Diceros bicornis minor: one gene and its partner. The protein of the gene in region 1 purifies or fractionates together with the protein of each later gene. This does not show direct contact. Links are inferred from orthologs where the notes say so. Each region holds a gene or a part of one and is shown on either strand. Other genes may lie near its edges.

Evidence for each region. Proteins that work in one complex are often made in the same cells at the same time.
Region 2: the proteins of KSR2 (region 1) and MAP2K2 purify together in Homo sapiens (affinity purification with mass spectrometry; 3 studies listed by BioGRID and IntAct, with this or other methods). This does not show direct contact. The link is inferred for Diceros bicornis minor from reciprocal best matches to the Homo sapiens genes KSR2 and MAP2K2.

Annotation. Positions count from the first base shown.
Region 1 is NC_080774.1:15,001,189-15,008,680, reverse strand, and holds the start of KSR2 (kinase suppressor of Ras 2), read left to right. Parts: upstream 1-4,478; 5' UTR 4,479-5,519; coding exon 5,520-5,699; intron 5,700-7,492. UniProt on the Homo sapiens protein: Location-regulated scaffold connecting MEK to RAF. Has very low protein kinase activity and can phosphorylate MAP2K1 at several Ser and Thr residues with very low efficiency (in vitro).
Region 2 is NW_026691553.1:3,137,694-3,145,044, forward strand, and holds the start of MAP2K2 (dual specificity mitogen-activated protein kinase kinase 2), read right to left. Parts: upstream 3,010-7,351; 5' UTR 2,808-3,009; coding exon 2,716-2,807; intron 1-2,715. UniProt on the Homo sapiens protein: Catalyzes the concomitant phosphorylation of a threonine and a tyrosine residue in a Thr-Glu-Tyr sequence located in MAP kinases. Activates the ERK1 and ERK2 MAP kinases.

The sequences.
Region 1 (7,492 bases):
GTCATCCTGAAAAGACTCACCCAAGAGGGGAGCCTGCCAGGCAAGGGGAAAAGAATGTGGGGTGTGTCCTGGGGTATGAATGGAAAAGAGGTGTGCAAGAGGTCAGCTGACGCGTGCAATGAGTCCCCACGGGGGTCTCCAAAGATCCCCCAGTGTGTCTCATGTAAAAGCCAGCATGTGAGTGCTTGCCAGGACATGTGGGGACATCTGACACTCGAGAGAGTACTATACCTGTACTCACCTGTTCTCAGCTCAGGGTCCCTTTTCCACTCCTCTCTCTGCTCCAGGTGAGCTGGAGAGGAGGCAGGAAAGGACACACCTGCCCTTGTCTCCACTGCAGATTCATTAGCCATCCGTGGGTCCAACTCGAGGGGGTGGGGAAGAAGGTATTAAACTGGATATGAGAATGAAGTTTTGATTGGACTAGACTGGACTTCTAATACCTGAATATGAGACTGTTCTTAGAGTTGAAACTAAAAGCTATGGGATCTAATGAGATATTGCCAAGTTCAGCTCACTCAGTAGCCCAATGACAATGATTTATTTCTGCCATGGATAAAGCCACTCTGAGACACGCATCATTCAGAGGTCATATGCAGTTTCTGGGATGAAATAAAACAATAAAAACAACAACACAATTCTCATCAGTTAGCTCCTGTTCTCCAAGCTTGAAATTGGGGAGGTTCTTATTGGTCTGAGGTGCAAACCACCTTAAGCTATACCAGGAGGAGCAACACAAATGCCTACAGGGGCCAGGCAGGAAACAAATAATGAATGAAGGGGGCTGGGTGGGGACTGTGGTGAACTGGAGAGCCTGTGTCCCATCTGGAAGGGACAGGTGCCTCATATCTAGCCAATAGTTGCCCAACGTGGCCAGATCTTCCCATTTTCCCAGAAAGGCCAGAAATCTCCATTTTTTGTAGTATTTCCTGATTTTGGAATTATTGGCAAGAATATTAGTCAGGGTTCTTTGTTGCAAACGACACAATCTACTCCAGGTCGTTTAAGCAGAATTGCTTTAATAGGGCGGTACTATGGACTGAATTGTGTGCCCCCAAATTCATATGTTGAAGCCCTAACCCCCCATATATCTTTACAGTCTTTAGGAGGTAATTAAGGTTAGATGAAGTCAAAAGGGTGAGGCCTTAATCAAATAGGGCTGTGGCCTCATAAGAAGAGGAAGCCATATGAGTCACGTCTGCCATGTGAGGATACAGCGGGAAGGCGCCATCTGCAATCCAGGAAGAGAGCTCTCACCAGACCCCAAACATGCCAGCACCCTGATCTCAGACTTCCAGCCTCCACAACTGTGGGAAAATAAGTTTCTGTTGTTTAAGCCACTCATCTATGGTATTTTGTTATGGCAGCCTGGGCAGACTAAGACAGGTGGTTAGAAAGCCTATAGAATTTCCAGGAGGACAAGAGAGCCAGGCTCGGACTGTGCAGCCAGGACTAATGTGAAACCACACTGTGGGGCTGCCCCTATGAACACCACGCCATGCCTCTCAGCACAGACATGAAGCTTACACAGGGGCAGGACACCTGGAAACAGGTGCATTGGCTGCTATGCTCACTAGCAGATAGATTCCTCCCCTTTGTTTCTCACTTTCCAGCAGAAATCTCATGTGATGTGTCAAATGGTAGAGCTTAGATCTCATGAGACATGGTTGCAAGGAAGGTGCTGGAAAAGTGCTTCAGTTTCTCTTATGGAGAGGTGGAACTCATAATGTGGGATATTTTCCAAACATAGAAGGATATTCAAAGGAGGCTAGGTGGATGCAAAGTATAACAAATGTCCACTACAGCAATCAATTGAAAAAAGGGGAGGGGTCAAACAGACGCATTTGTGTGGTGCTTATAGCTCTGCCAGTTGATGACTTCTGACCTCTGGGCTATTTTCACTGTTTAAACTTCCACTTCCTTTGAAAACAACTAGAAAAGTCAGATCAAATCATCATCATCATTTCATCATCATGTGCTTAATGACATTCAGAGAGCTGCTGAAGCAACCAGGACCGAAGGGGCCAGGATTCTGGAGAGAGGGGAACCGTGTTGAGGCGAGCTGACAGTCTGCAGCCACTGTTTCCCTGGGGACGTTTGCAAATTTGGGCAGATGGAATCTAGACTTTTCCCAGCTAAGGGGGCTGCTGCTGGGGGACAGAGAAACCAGCAGAACTTTTGGCACTCTCACAGGGTTGGAGACACAATCGGGGACTTGAGAGGCTAATATCCCAGAGAGAAGGGAGGGGCAGAAAAGTGAGCTTGATGGATGGCAGTCTTCCCCTTAAAGCATTTGGCAAATTCCGAAACAGTGCAGGCCAAGAGGCTAAGAAGCCAACCAGAAAGCCCCTGAAAAACAGAGCAGTTTTCAGCAGTCTTGCCAAGTTATGGAGACAAAGATGAGTGCTCAGGACAAGAGGGGAGGGGCTTTGGTGAACACCCCAAGTTCTCATTTGGAATCCCTGAAAGGCAAAGCCTTAGGAATGGGGGTCAAAGTTAGATGGTGTCTTATCAGACCTGTAACCCAGTCTCCACTCAGCTCAGCCTCTGATAGAATCAAGATGATCAGTCCCCACACCATCTGTCCTGCAAAGAAAGGGTGAGCCCTCTCCAGAGCTGGATAACATCACCTGGAGACTCTGTATTTTTTCATACACAATGCCTGGCATTCAACAATTACAAGACCTGCCAAGAGACAGGACCACATCACTGAAAACACAGAGAAAAACAGTCAATGGAAACAGACCCCACGGGTGACCGAGGTATCAGAATTAGACAAAGGCTTTAAAATAACCATGATTAATATGTTCAAGAAAAACAAAGCAAAAGATGGAGAAAATAGATGAAAAGAGAATTTTACCAGAGAATTGAAATCCATAAACTTCATAGTCCAAAAGCGTGAGAACATAGAGAACTCTCCTGAGCTCCTCATGACAGAGAGATTTTGAAAATGCTGATTCAGCTCTGTATGAGCAAAAAAAACCCATGGCCCACAGTCTTAAAAAAAGTTTGCCTTTGGGGCCGGCCCTGTGGCTTAGCGGTTGAGTGCGCGCACTCCGCGACTGGGGGCCCAGGTTCGGATCCGGGTGCGCAGGGACGCACTGCTTCTCTGGCTATGCTGAGGCCACATCCCACATACAGCAACTAGAAGGATGTGCAACTATGACATACAACTATCTACTGGGGCTTTGGGAAAAAAACAAAAAGAGGAGGATTGGCAATAGATGTTAGCTCAGAGCCGGTCTTCCTCAGCAAAAAGAGAAAGATTAGCACGGATGTTAGCTCAGGGCTGATCTTCCTCACAAAAAAAAAAAAAAGAGTTTGCCTTCACTGGCTGTCATTCTCCATACCTCTCAAGTGGCTTCCTTTTAAGGGGCACATATTGTACCATGTGTTCTGAGTCTACTCTGCCCTGTAAGCCCAGTTCCCTGGCATGGAGCTCTGGTCACCAGGAGAAAGAGATGTCTCTTGCTAACAATCCTCAATACATCCTTTGGGCAATGTGTGTTGAGAGTACCATTAATTGAGGTGGTCAGAGATGAAGCCTCTCTGAGATGACATTTGAGTTGACCCTGAGTGACAAGGAGCCAACCAGGAGAGCTAGGGGGAAATGTGGTCCAGGCAGAGTGGATATAGAGTGCAAAGAACTCCAAGGCAAGGATATGTTTGGTGATTTAATCAGGGGTTGGCAAACTTATCTGTAATGGGCCAGATTAGTGAATATTTTAGGCATTGCAAGTCATACAGTGTCTGTTGCAACTACTCAATTCTGGTGTTATAATGCAAAGTAACCACAGACAATAAATGAAAGGGTGGCAGTGTTCCAATAAAACTTATTTATGGACACTGAAATGTGAATTCTTTATAATTTTCACGTGTCAGAAAATACTCTTCTTTTGATTTTTTTCCAATCATTTTAAAATGTAAAAAGCATTTTTAGCCCTGAGGCCATAGTTTGCTAATATAAGGTCGGTTAGGTAGGCTGGGATCAGATCTTTCAGGGCATGTCGGACACAATAACAGTCAGATTAAGGCAAAGCCCCTTTCCCCCTCCAAATGGACAGCCACCGGCAGGGTAACTGCAGGCCAGGGCACCAATGCTGCGAGGCCGCTTCCCACAGCTCATGGAAGATCATCAGGTATGTTTTATTTTCCACCAGTAACAAGAAAGGACAAATGAACGAAAAGACAGACACGCACATCGAGCCAGAAAGCCAGAGAGGACGTGCCCAGGTTCACGCTGATGTTTCTCCCGCACGCACTACGGGTTTTAAAGTTGGGCGCACACCTGCTCCCAGCCAGAGCGCACCTGCTGAGCAGTACTTGGCCTCGTCTCGCGAGAGCGCTGCTGTAGTAGTGGCCCCCACCCCCATCCCGCCACCAAATCCCTCTCCCCGCCTCCTCGCCCAGCCTCCGCGCTCTGGCACCCTCCCCGCCACCTCCACCGCCCCGGAGCAGCCTCGGCCGCCGCGCGCGCTTCCCCCACGCCCCCGCCCGCCCGTCGCTCGCTCGCACGCACGCCCGCTAGTAATTTCACTTTGCCACGCGAGCTCCGTATCCCGAGAAATCCCGCCCCCCGCTCCCCCTGGCCCCGCCGGGAGCCGGCCCTTTCCCCGGCCAGGTGCGCGAGCCTGCGCGCTCCTCCCCCGCCTCCTCCGGCGGGTCCCTGGCGCGCCGGGGCCGGGGCCCGGCTGGGGCGGATGCGCGCACGGCGCCTCTCCACCAACCCGCTCCCCTGCAGGTCCCTCGCTCGCTCGCTCGCCATCCCTCGCCGGCGCTCCCTCGCTCCCCCCACCCCCCCTTGATTGACAGGCAAGATGTCGGTGTGGAGCGAGGCAGGAGCGAGTGCAGCAGCCGTCACCCCCGGAGCCCGGCGGCGGCAGCAGCAGCAGCAGCAGCAGCAGCGCGAGGAGGAGACAGCAGCCAGCCGCAGTCGCCGCCGCAGCCGCGGGAGCAATGCAGACAGCATCTTGAGAACGCGCTAAAGCCCCCAAACGCTGGACAATGCCGTGTCACTGCAACTGGGAGGGGGGCAAAGCAGAATTTTTTTGACATAAAAGCAAGCCAGCCAAAAATATATAATTTTGTCCTTCACGGAGCCGGTGTGTAAAGAGTGAGCGCTGTTTTCCTTCTCCCCCTCCTCTTCCTCCTCCCCTTCTCCCTCCCCCCACTCCTCCTCTTTTTCCTCCTCCTCCTCCCTAAGTGTACAGACAGCATCACATCACCTGGTTTGCTTCTGAGAAACAGCATCTCTCCTTTTCAAGGACCAGAGACTCAGAGAGAGGAGACATTCTAATGGAGTCTGCTTGATACCCCAAAATAAAATAATAAATTTTGGCTCCTGTCCCCTCCTCCCACCCCCACCCCCTCAACCCCGTGTGAGATGTTGGGTTTCTTCTTCATGAGACATTGTTGAGAAGTCGCAGTGGTTGGAGAGGCGGCGGGGGTAGACTACCTCCCCCCCCCCCTTTTTTCTCTCTGGGAGGAGGAGGAGGGGAAGGGGGCTTGCAGAGCAAGCGATGGATGAGGAAAACATGACGAAAAGCGAGGAGCAGCAGCCTCTGAGTTTGCAAAAAGCCTTACAGCAGTGCGAGTTGGTCCAAAACATGATAGACCTGAGCATCTCCAACCTGGAAGGGCTTAGGACCAAATGTGCTACCTCCAACGACCTCACACAAAAAGAAATCCGGACCCTGGAGGTAGGTGCTGCCTACGGGGGAAAAAGCAATCCTTGCTTCCCTCCGCTGTCTCCCCGCCGTCCCCTTTCCTTTAATTCTGTTTGTATGGGGGGTGGGGGGGGGTGGCAAGGTGGGCACGATGTGGTTTTCTGTGATTTATCTTGCAAAGCCTGCACTGGGTGGCCCTTTACTGTACTGCTGTCGTCTACGCTTGGCTGGGTGGTGGTAGTAGTAGTAGTAATTGTTATTCTTTATTATTATTCTTGCGGCTGTTATTATCATTTGCTTCTTCTCTAAGGAGTGAGTTCTCTCTTTTTTCCGCTCGTGGATTTGTTTATATGCCATGGGGGCTCGTGTGCCGGGTAAGACATTAAGGCGCTGCAGAGAACCCACAGAAAACCACGTGACCTTGCGCATTCTGCAGGTGGTCAAAAGGTGGTTTTGCTCGCAGAATGGGGCTGCCTATAAATACAGACCTCTTCTTCTCTCGGCCTGCTTCCCAGCGCCCCTTTTGCTCCTTGGATTTTGTGGTTTTTCCAGTGATGTATGTATGTCAGGAGGCAAGATGCATGAAAAAAAAATCCCCATTGAGCTACTCATTTCCAATCAAATCATTTGGATGCAGGGAGATGTTGCAGGCCTAAAACGCGTAAAAAGCTTAAAAAAAAAATAATTCCTGGAACAGCACACACAAGTGGTGTGGGAAAATACTCTTGAATCTCGGTGGGACCGGGAGGAAAGGGGTGGGAGGAGGAGTTATCGTTGGTTTGTTGTAACATTCTCTCCAACAGAACTTCAGGGGGAGTTTGAAGCAGTTTTGTGGGGGTGGGATGGATGCAAAGTTACTCAGAAAGAAGATGGCAGAAATTATTTCTTCCAAAAGCTATTTGGTCAAAGGCGGAAGGTTTCAAGAGCCTTAGAAAATGCCTGTGTCCATGTTATCATTGGGCATCCACGATGCTTGCAACATCTGAAGGGTTCCACTCACTTTTCTCTCTCAAACCGGCCCAGCCGTACACATGGCTTGATTAAATTTGGGAACTCCCATTAGCTGGCATTTGCTGAGAGTGGTGGCAATGGGGCTGGGAGCAAAGAACAGAGGTTCTGCCTGTGGTGGAGTGGGCATGTGCAATGCTGGCAGGTTCCTTCTATTTCCAAGGCCTGAACTCTTCAATCCTTACAGCATCTTTTAACCCTGGTGCCCCTGTTCTAGCCTGGATGAGCACCTCTCTCTGATTCACTGTCTTTCTTTTTCCTCTATGGTTTTAAATTTGGCTAGATGTCAGCCCGCAGGAAGGTCATCAGTTTGAAAGTGGAGTTTGTGTGTGTGTGTGTGAGTGTTGAATATGCTGTTTGCTACCCTCGAATGTGTGTCTAGGTGCACCTGTCATCTGGGAGAATGATTCTCAGAAATGAAATAAGATGAATGTCAAAGGGTGTTAGAGGAGTGGGAATTCTGTTGGGAGGCACAGGTCTTTTCTTTCTCAGAGGTTGGGGAGAGCAGTCTAGTCTAGGACTCTGCTGCTGGAAGAAAAATGTGGGATGCCCTGGGCCAGCCTCCTGTCTGAGCAGTGACCAAGATAAAATTCTGTTCAGAACTGCGTGCAGTAAGTAAATAAGTAACCCCAAAGAGCCACATGGGGTCTCTTCTGGTCCTCTGAGTCAGGAGTCCCAAATGCTAGTTTGCGTACGGCTGTGTAAGTTTCTCAAGTTTTCTTTGCCTCTTCAACGTGCTCCATCCTCTGATAACACCTTGGAGAATGGTGGTTGTCACAGTGGGCTCTGGATTCTGTGGCTTCTTTTCTGCCTAGTGG
Region 2 (7,351 bases), on another chromosome or scaffold:
AAAAAACCCTGGAATTCCAATGGCTGGCCTCCTCTGCTGGGGGAATTCTTGAAGGGATGGAAATCAGAAACCACATCAAAGAAAGAGAAGGGCAGAGGAAGGAAGAGGTCTCCCGGAGGAAGAAGAAGGAGCGGGTTTCTGAAAATTAGGAGCCTGTCCCCGCGTTGAGCTGTGCGGTCGGAGATGGAGAAAGATGCCGGCTCACACACACACGTGCGTGAAGACCGTCCTTCACCCGGGACGCAGGAGGCCAAGTCCCCGAGGGGACCAGATGTGCCCTTTGCCCGTCACACCACAAGCACAGCCAGTGGACCCCCCCGCCACGGGCCTCTGGACCACTCCGCTCCACCGGCATGGAGAGCGGGAGTGGGGAGGTCATGGGGACTTTTGCGGCCACGCGGTCACCCCGGTGTGACCATACACACTACCATCCCGCCATCCCATAGCCCCGCCACCCCCTGCTCCCTGCTCTGTCCCCTGCCCCCAAGCCCTCCAGTCTCCCTCCACGGCCTGCACTTCTCCAGCCCGGAGGCTCTGCCAGTCCATTCGATTCAGAAGCTCTGCTTATGCGCCTTCAGGGGTCCCAGCAGGGCCCCCGCTCCTTTCCCCCACCCCTCCCACTTCTCCCCACACCCCACCCCTCCACATCCCCCTCACTCCCTGCTGCCCCAGCCTCCTCACCCCTCTCTGCTACTTCCAGGGGCTCCCTCTCCCCCACCAGCAGGGTCTTCTCATCCTGCCCTTAGTCTCTCAGGCTCCTTTCCCCCCAATTCCCTCGGAGACTCTCCCCTCCTCCCCACACCCCTTCAGGGACCCGTCCCCCATCCTCATCGCTCAGGCGTCCCTTCCCTGTTGCTGGTCTTCTGTGAACCTCCTCACCCCATCCTCACTCCCAGGGACCCTCCCGTCGCCCCTTACTCTGATTCATTACTCAGGGACCGCCCGCACCCTGTCCTCTCCCCATAGGGACCCCCTCAAGACCCCTCAACCTGTCCTCACCACTCAGGAACCCTCCTCACCTCCTCCTCCCCTCAGGATCCCGCACTCTGACCACACTACTCAGGGACTCCCCGCTTACTCCTATCTCACTGCCTGGGACTCCCTGACCCATCCTCTCCTCTCAGGAATCCCCCCATCACCCCTGATTCACGACTCAGGGACCCCCCAACTCGGATCGCAGTACTCAGGGGCCCCACGCCCATCCTTTCCCTGCAGGGACCTCCTTCACCCCAATTCACAACTCAGGCACCCCCCTCACTGCAATTTCACTATTTAGGGTCCCACGCCCCATCCTTTCCCCTCAGGGACCTCTCCTTGCCCTGATTCTCTACTCAGAGTCCCCTCAGCCCATCCTCTCCCCACAAGAACCTGCCCTCAACCCGATGTCACCACTCAAGGACCCCTTCCTCCATCCTTGCTACTCAGGGCCCCCTCATCTCATCCTCTCCTCTCAAGAACCCTCCTCCATCCTCCATCACTGAGGACCCCCCACCTCGATACTCAGAGCCCCCTCCCCCATCCTCACTACTCAGGACCCCCTCCCCCACCCTCACTACCCAGGGCCCCTCTCTCCATCTTCTGGGGGGGACCCTCCATCCCATCCCTTCCTCTCAGGGATCCCTCCCCCTGACTTCTTTAATCAGGGCCCCCTCTCCTGACCTCACTATTCAGGAACCCCCACCACCCCATCCTTTCCTCTCAGGGACGCAGCCCCCCCCCCCCCCGGCCTTTCCTCTCGGGAACCCCCTCCTCCCTCGTCCTTCAACACTCAGGGCCCCCCTCCCCCATCCCTCATCACCCAGGGCCCCCCTCCCCATCCTTTCCTCTTGGGGACCCCCTCCCCTCCCTCATCACCCAGGGCCCCCCTTTCCCCTCCCTCATTACCCACGGCCCCCCTCCCCATCCTTTCCTCTCGGGGATGCCCTCCCCCCTCCCTCATCACCCAGGGGCCCCCCCCTCTGTCTTTTCCTCTCGGGGACCCCCTCCTCCCGTCCTCCATCACTCAGGACCCCCCCCCCCTCATTACCCAGAGGCCCCTCTCTCCATCCTTTCCTCTCGGGGACCTCCCCCTCCATCCCTCATTACCCAGGGCCCCCTCTCTCCGTCTTTTCCTCTCGGGGACCCCCTCCTCCCGTCCTCCACCACTCAGGGCCCCCTTCCCCCATCCTCGCTGCTCAGGGCCCCCTCCCCCACCCTCACTACCCAGGGCTGCTCTCCCCATCTTCTCGGGGGGACCCTCCATCCCATCCCTTCCTCTCAGGGATCCCTCCCCCTGACTTCTTTAATCAGGGCCCCCTCTCCTGACCTCACTATTCAGGGACCCCCCACCACCCCGTCCTTTCCTCTCAGGGACGCCCCCCCTCCCCGTCCTTTCCTCTCGGGAACCCCCTCCCCCCTCGTCCTTCAACACTCAGGGACCCCCCCTCCCCATCCTTTCCTCTCGGGGACCCCCTCCTCCATCACTCAGGGCCCCCTTCCCCCTCCCTCATTACCCAGGGCCCCCTCTCTCCGTTTTTTCCTCTCGGGGACCCCCTCCCTCCGTCCTCCATCACTCAAGGACCCCCTCCCCCATCCTCACCACTCAGGACCCCCTCCTCTGTCCTCACCACTCAGGACCCCCTCCTCTGTCCTCGCCACTCAGGGCCCCCTCCCCCTGCTCCCCCGAGACCCCCCGCGCCGCCCCCTCCCCCCGTGCGCCCCCGGCCGGCCACTCACTCGGAGGCGCCCTCGCTGGTGGGGGACGGGCCCTCGGCGATGGCGGGGCTGATGTTGAGCGCCGGCAGCACCGGCTTCCTCCGGGCCAGCATCGGGGCTCCGCGGGCCGGCGGCGGCGCCTCAGCCGGGGCCCATAGGGGGCGGGCCGGGAGCGGGCGGCGCCGACGCGAGCCCGGGGCTGCGGCCGCGGCCTAGCCGGCGCCGGGGCGGCGAGGGCGGGCGGCCTGCCGACCGGGGCCGAGGGGCGCCGGGGGGCGCCGGGGCTGAAGCCGAGGAGCCGCCGCTGCCGCCGCCGCCGCCGCCGAGGCCCGAGCCAGGCTGACGCTGCAGCCAGAGCCCCGAAGGCCGAGGGAGGGGAGGGGAGCGACGAGATCGCGAGCCGGCCTCTCGCGAGAACCACCGCCAGCCGCCGCGCCGGGCCCCGCCCCTCCCCGCGGCGCGTGCGCACCAGCCGAGGCCGCCTCCCCTAAGGTGGAAGGGGCGGAGACCGACTCCAGGCGGTGCCTGGAGCAGCGCGCTCTCGCCTCCCACCGTGCGAGTGCGCATGCGCTGGGGACCGGGAAAGGCAGGGCGGGAGGGAGGCGGCGGTGGGGTTGATGAGCGTGGGCAGGTGGGCAGGGGAGAGGTCAGACCCTCACAGCCGTGTGGGTGCCAGACGGGGACTACATGAGCCAGTGAAATCCCCCAAAATTGTGAGAGGTGGACCCAGAGTCACTTTAAGTCTTTTTGCCAATTCTGGAACCCCCCCCTTCCCACTAGCACCTCATAATATCAAGTATCCCCATTCTTTTAAAAAGAGAGGTCGTTGTAAAACTTTTTTGTTGTGGTGGTAAATATACGTAACATAAAACTTACCATTTTGACTATTTTTAAGTGCACAGCTCAGTAGCAATGAAGCACACTCACATTGTTGTGCAACCATCCCCACCATCCGTCTCCAGAACTTTCCATGTTCCCAAGCTGAGACTCTGTCCCCAGGAAACACTGACTCCCCTCCCCTCCCCCAGCCCCTGGCCCCACCATCCACTTTCTGTCTCTGTGGCTGTGACTCCTCTAGGGGCCTCCTGTGAGGGGATCACACAGTGTCTGTCCTTCTGGGTCTGGCTCATGTCACTGCGTGTCATGTCCTCAAGGTCCATCCATGTTGGAGCAGGTGTCAGAATCTCCTTCCTTTTTAAGGCTGAATAATATTCCATTGTATCAGGCCGGCCCCGGGGCTTAACGGTTAAGTGCGTGTGCTCTGATGTTGGCAGGCCAGGTTCGGATCCCGGGCGCGCACCGACGCACTGCTTGTCCGGCCATGCTGAGGCTGCGTCCCACATACAGCAACTAGAAGGATGTACAACTATGACATACAACTATCTACTGGGGCTTTGGGGAGAAAAAAAATTCCATTGTATGGATGGACCACATTGTGTTTCTCCATTTGTTCATTGATGGACATTTGGGTTGTTTCCACCTTCTGACTGTTATGAATAATCTGGCTGTGAACATGAGTGTGCAAATATCTATCCAAATTCCTGCTTTCAATTCTTTTGGATATCTACTCAAAAGTGGAATCATTGGATCGTATGGTAATTCTATGTTTAATTTTTTGAGGAACCACCAAAGTGTTTTCCACAGCGGCGACACCATTTTATGAGAAAGGTCATTTTAACACCAATAAAAAAAAAGAAAAGAAAAGAAGGAAGTACGTGACACAGAATAAACGACAGTCATTTAAACGAGAAAAAGTTGACTTCATGAAAAACTCCCCGCATTGCTTTTCTTTTTGTCACGTCTCTGAGCACGGGTGTACATTTCATGGTGGGGTGCCCCTTTGGGAACCACATGGGAAGACACAGGCGCAGTGAACAGTCTCTTCCAGGGTCCATCCAGCCCAGGTGCCCTGGTCTCCCCGGCTCAGTCCTGCCGACTTCCTCTCCGGGTGCCCTTCAGACGTTCTTTTAACAATTGATTTGCAACGCCCTTTATGTGAAAGCTACAGTGCTGGACACCAGAGATACAATGTTTAAAAAACAGATACATAATACACATATACATAATTGCAAAATGTGACCATGTTCTAAAAATGCAAAGATGTAACCATAGCTCTCCCCTGATTAAACCTGTTCCCAGACACGTCTGCACCACCACTTCCACAGTCTGAGCGTTTTCAGTTTTGTCTCTGGCTGCTCCCACCCACTCACCCAAAATTCAGGGGAATGTTCATCTGGCCTCAGATAATGCCGTGACCTTTCTCAGCTCTGGGCGTTTCCTCTTTCTTTCTGTTCTGCCAAGTGATCTCTTCATCATTTTATTTCATTTTAGGCTGTGTATATCCATAGAGTCTTTTTTATTGAGCTATAACTTACATATAATAAATGCACAGTTCTCGAATGTTCGAGAACATTCGACTTTTACAATTGTATATACCCATGTAACCATTCCCGGAAACAAGGCGTAGGACATTTCTGTCACTCCGGAAAGTTTCTCAGTGCCCTATTCAGTTAATCTCCCTCGCCCTAATCAGCAGTGGTGTCCTGGTAAATGTTTAACAGCGGGCTTTTGAAGTAAGGAACTGGGGGAGGGGGCACAGAGAGGCTGATATATAATTTGTAACATTTGCCCATTTCTGCGGTGTAAATATTTCCACCATGGCTGATTTCCAGCTACCACGAAGCTGGAAAGAATGGTAACAAGAGGCTCCTATGAGCCAAGACGAGCTGGCCACAGCACACCACTGCCCCAGAGACACTCTAGATTCTGATTTCTATCCCCACTGATTCATTTTGCATGTTCTAGGGCCTCATAGAAATGGAATGGTACGGTACATACTCTTTTTGTGTCTGACTTCTTTTGCTCAGCACAATGTTTTTGCAATTCTCCCGTGGGGTTGCGTATAACACTAACTTGTTCTTTTTCCACGCCATATGACATACCATGGTGTATATTTTGGGGATTACCTTCTTGAGGAGGGTGAAGAGATCATATCTTTTCTGATGATCAGCGTTTTCAGTTCTTCTTGGTTCCTATTTGGGGGCTCAGCTCACATGCCACGTTTTCCAGCAAGTCTGCTTCTCCCAGCTTCTGCCAGCTACCTACTTGCAATTCCCAGGGCACCCTGTTTATTTCTGGTTTACAGCTCTCACCGCGTTCTGATGCACATCACTGCTCTTTCGTTTTGCCTTCCCTGCTAGTTACGAACGTTTTGAAGGCATGGAAGAGGTTGAATTCGTCTCCTCTCCCAGATCAGCCACTCGGATACAGTTGATGCTTCATACATTAATGCTACTTGAATGAATGAAACGGGCGTTCCTGTCCTCAGAGACGTAAATTTCCTACTAATCACCCGATTCTCAGAACTTGTGATAGTACATGAGCTTTTATTATCCAGCTTACAGTACAGACTCACATCCTCCACTCCTTTATCTTGTCTGGCCAGCGCAGTCTGCTCTGCAGCCTCTCCGTGTTAACATATCTCCCTGCTTATCGTTGGTTGCAATCCCCACTTTCTTCGTACATCAGTTTCCTGCTTCCAGAGACTTGGGTGTCTCCTAAATCACTTCCCTCCCGCTGAGAAATAAATTTCTAACAGCTTTGTTGATAGATTCAATGCAAAGTGACATTTATCTTGATTAGGCATGATCTAGTATTAATGTCACATGTGTTCACTGTTCCTATCTGGAAACGCACCCTGAACTTGATCGCTCTCACCTGTGCAGTGGATTAACCAAAAGGATTGCTGACCTGACCCCTTTGGAAAGCATTAGTACTATCTTGAATACCCTACAACCTAGGAATTCTGCTCCTAGGCATACAACCTAGGAAACTCTTGCTCTCATATAACCAGGAGACACCGACGCTATGTTCTCGATGGCAAAAATCTGGAAACTACGTAAATATCCATTGACGGAGGAATGGAAAAATATGTTCTAGCATTGTCCCACAAAGAAATATTGGGCACACAAATGACAACCACGTAAAAAAGTCTTAAAAACGTAAAATTACAGAAGACTGTCTGTGACACCATATTTTTTAAGTTTATTTTCCTTTTTTTTTTTTTTTTGCTGAGGAAGATTGGCCCTGAGCTAACATCTCTGCCCATCTTCCTCTATTTTGTATGTGGGACACTGCCACAGCACGGCTTGGTGAGCGGTGAGTAGGCCAGGGATTTGAACCTGCGAACCCTGGGCCACAGAAGCAGAGTGTGTGAACCTAACCACTACGCCACTGGGCCAGCCCCATGTGACACTATTTTTATAAAATGAAAATGGCTCAGCATCATTAGCCATTGGGGAAACGCAAATTAAAACCACAATGAGATACTACCACACACCTATTAGAGTGGCTAAAATTAAAAAAGTTGACAATACCAAGTGTTGACGAGGATGCAGAGCAACTGGGACTCTCGTACATTGCTGGTAGGAATACCAGCTGGAAAATAATTGGCAGTTTCTTAGAAAGTTAAAGGTACACTTACCATATGACCCAGCCATCACACTCCTGGGTCTTTACCCAAGAGAAATGAGCTCTTAGGTTCACCCAAAAACCTGAACACGAATGTTCATAAAGCTTTATCTGTAATAGACCCAAACCTGGAAAGAACCCAAATGTCCTTCAGTGGAGGAATTGATAAATGAATTGTGGCTTGAAT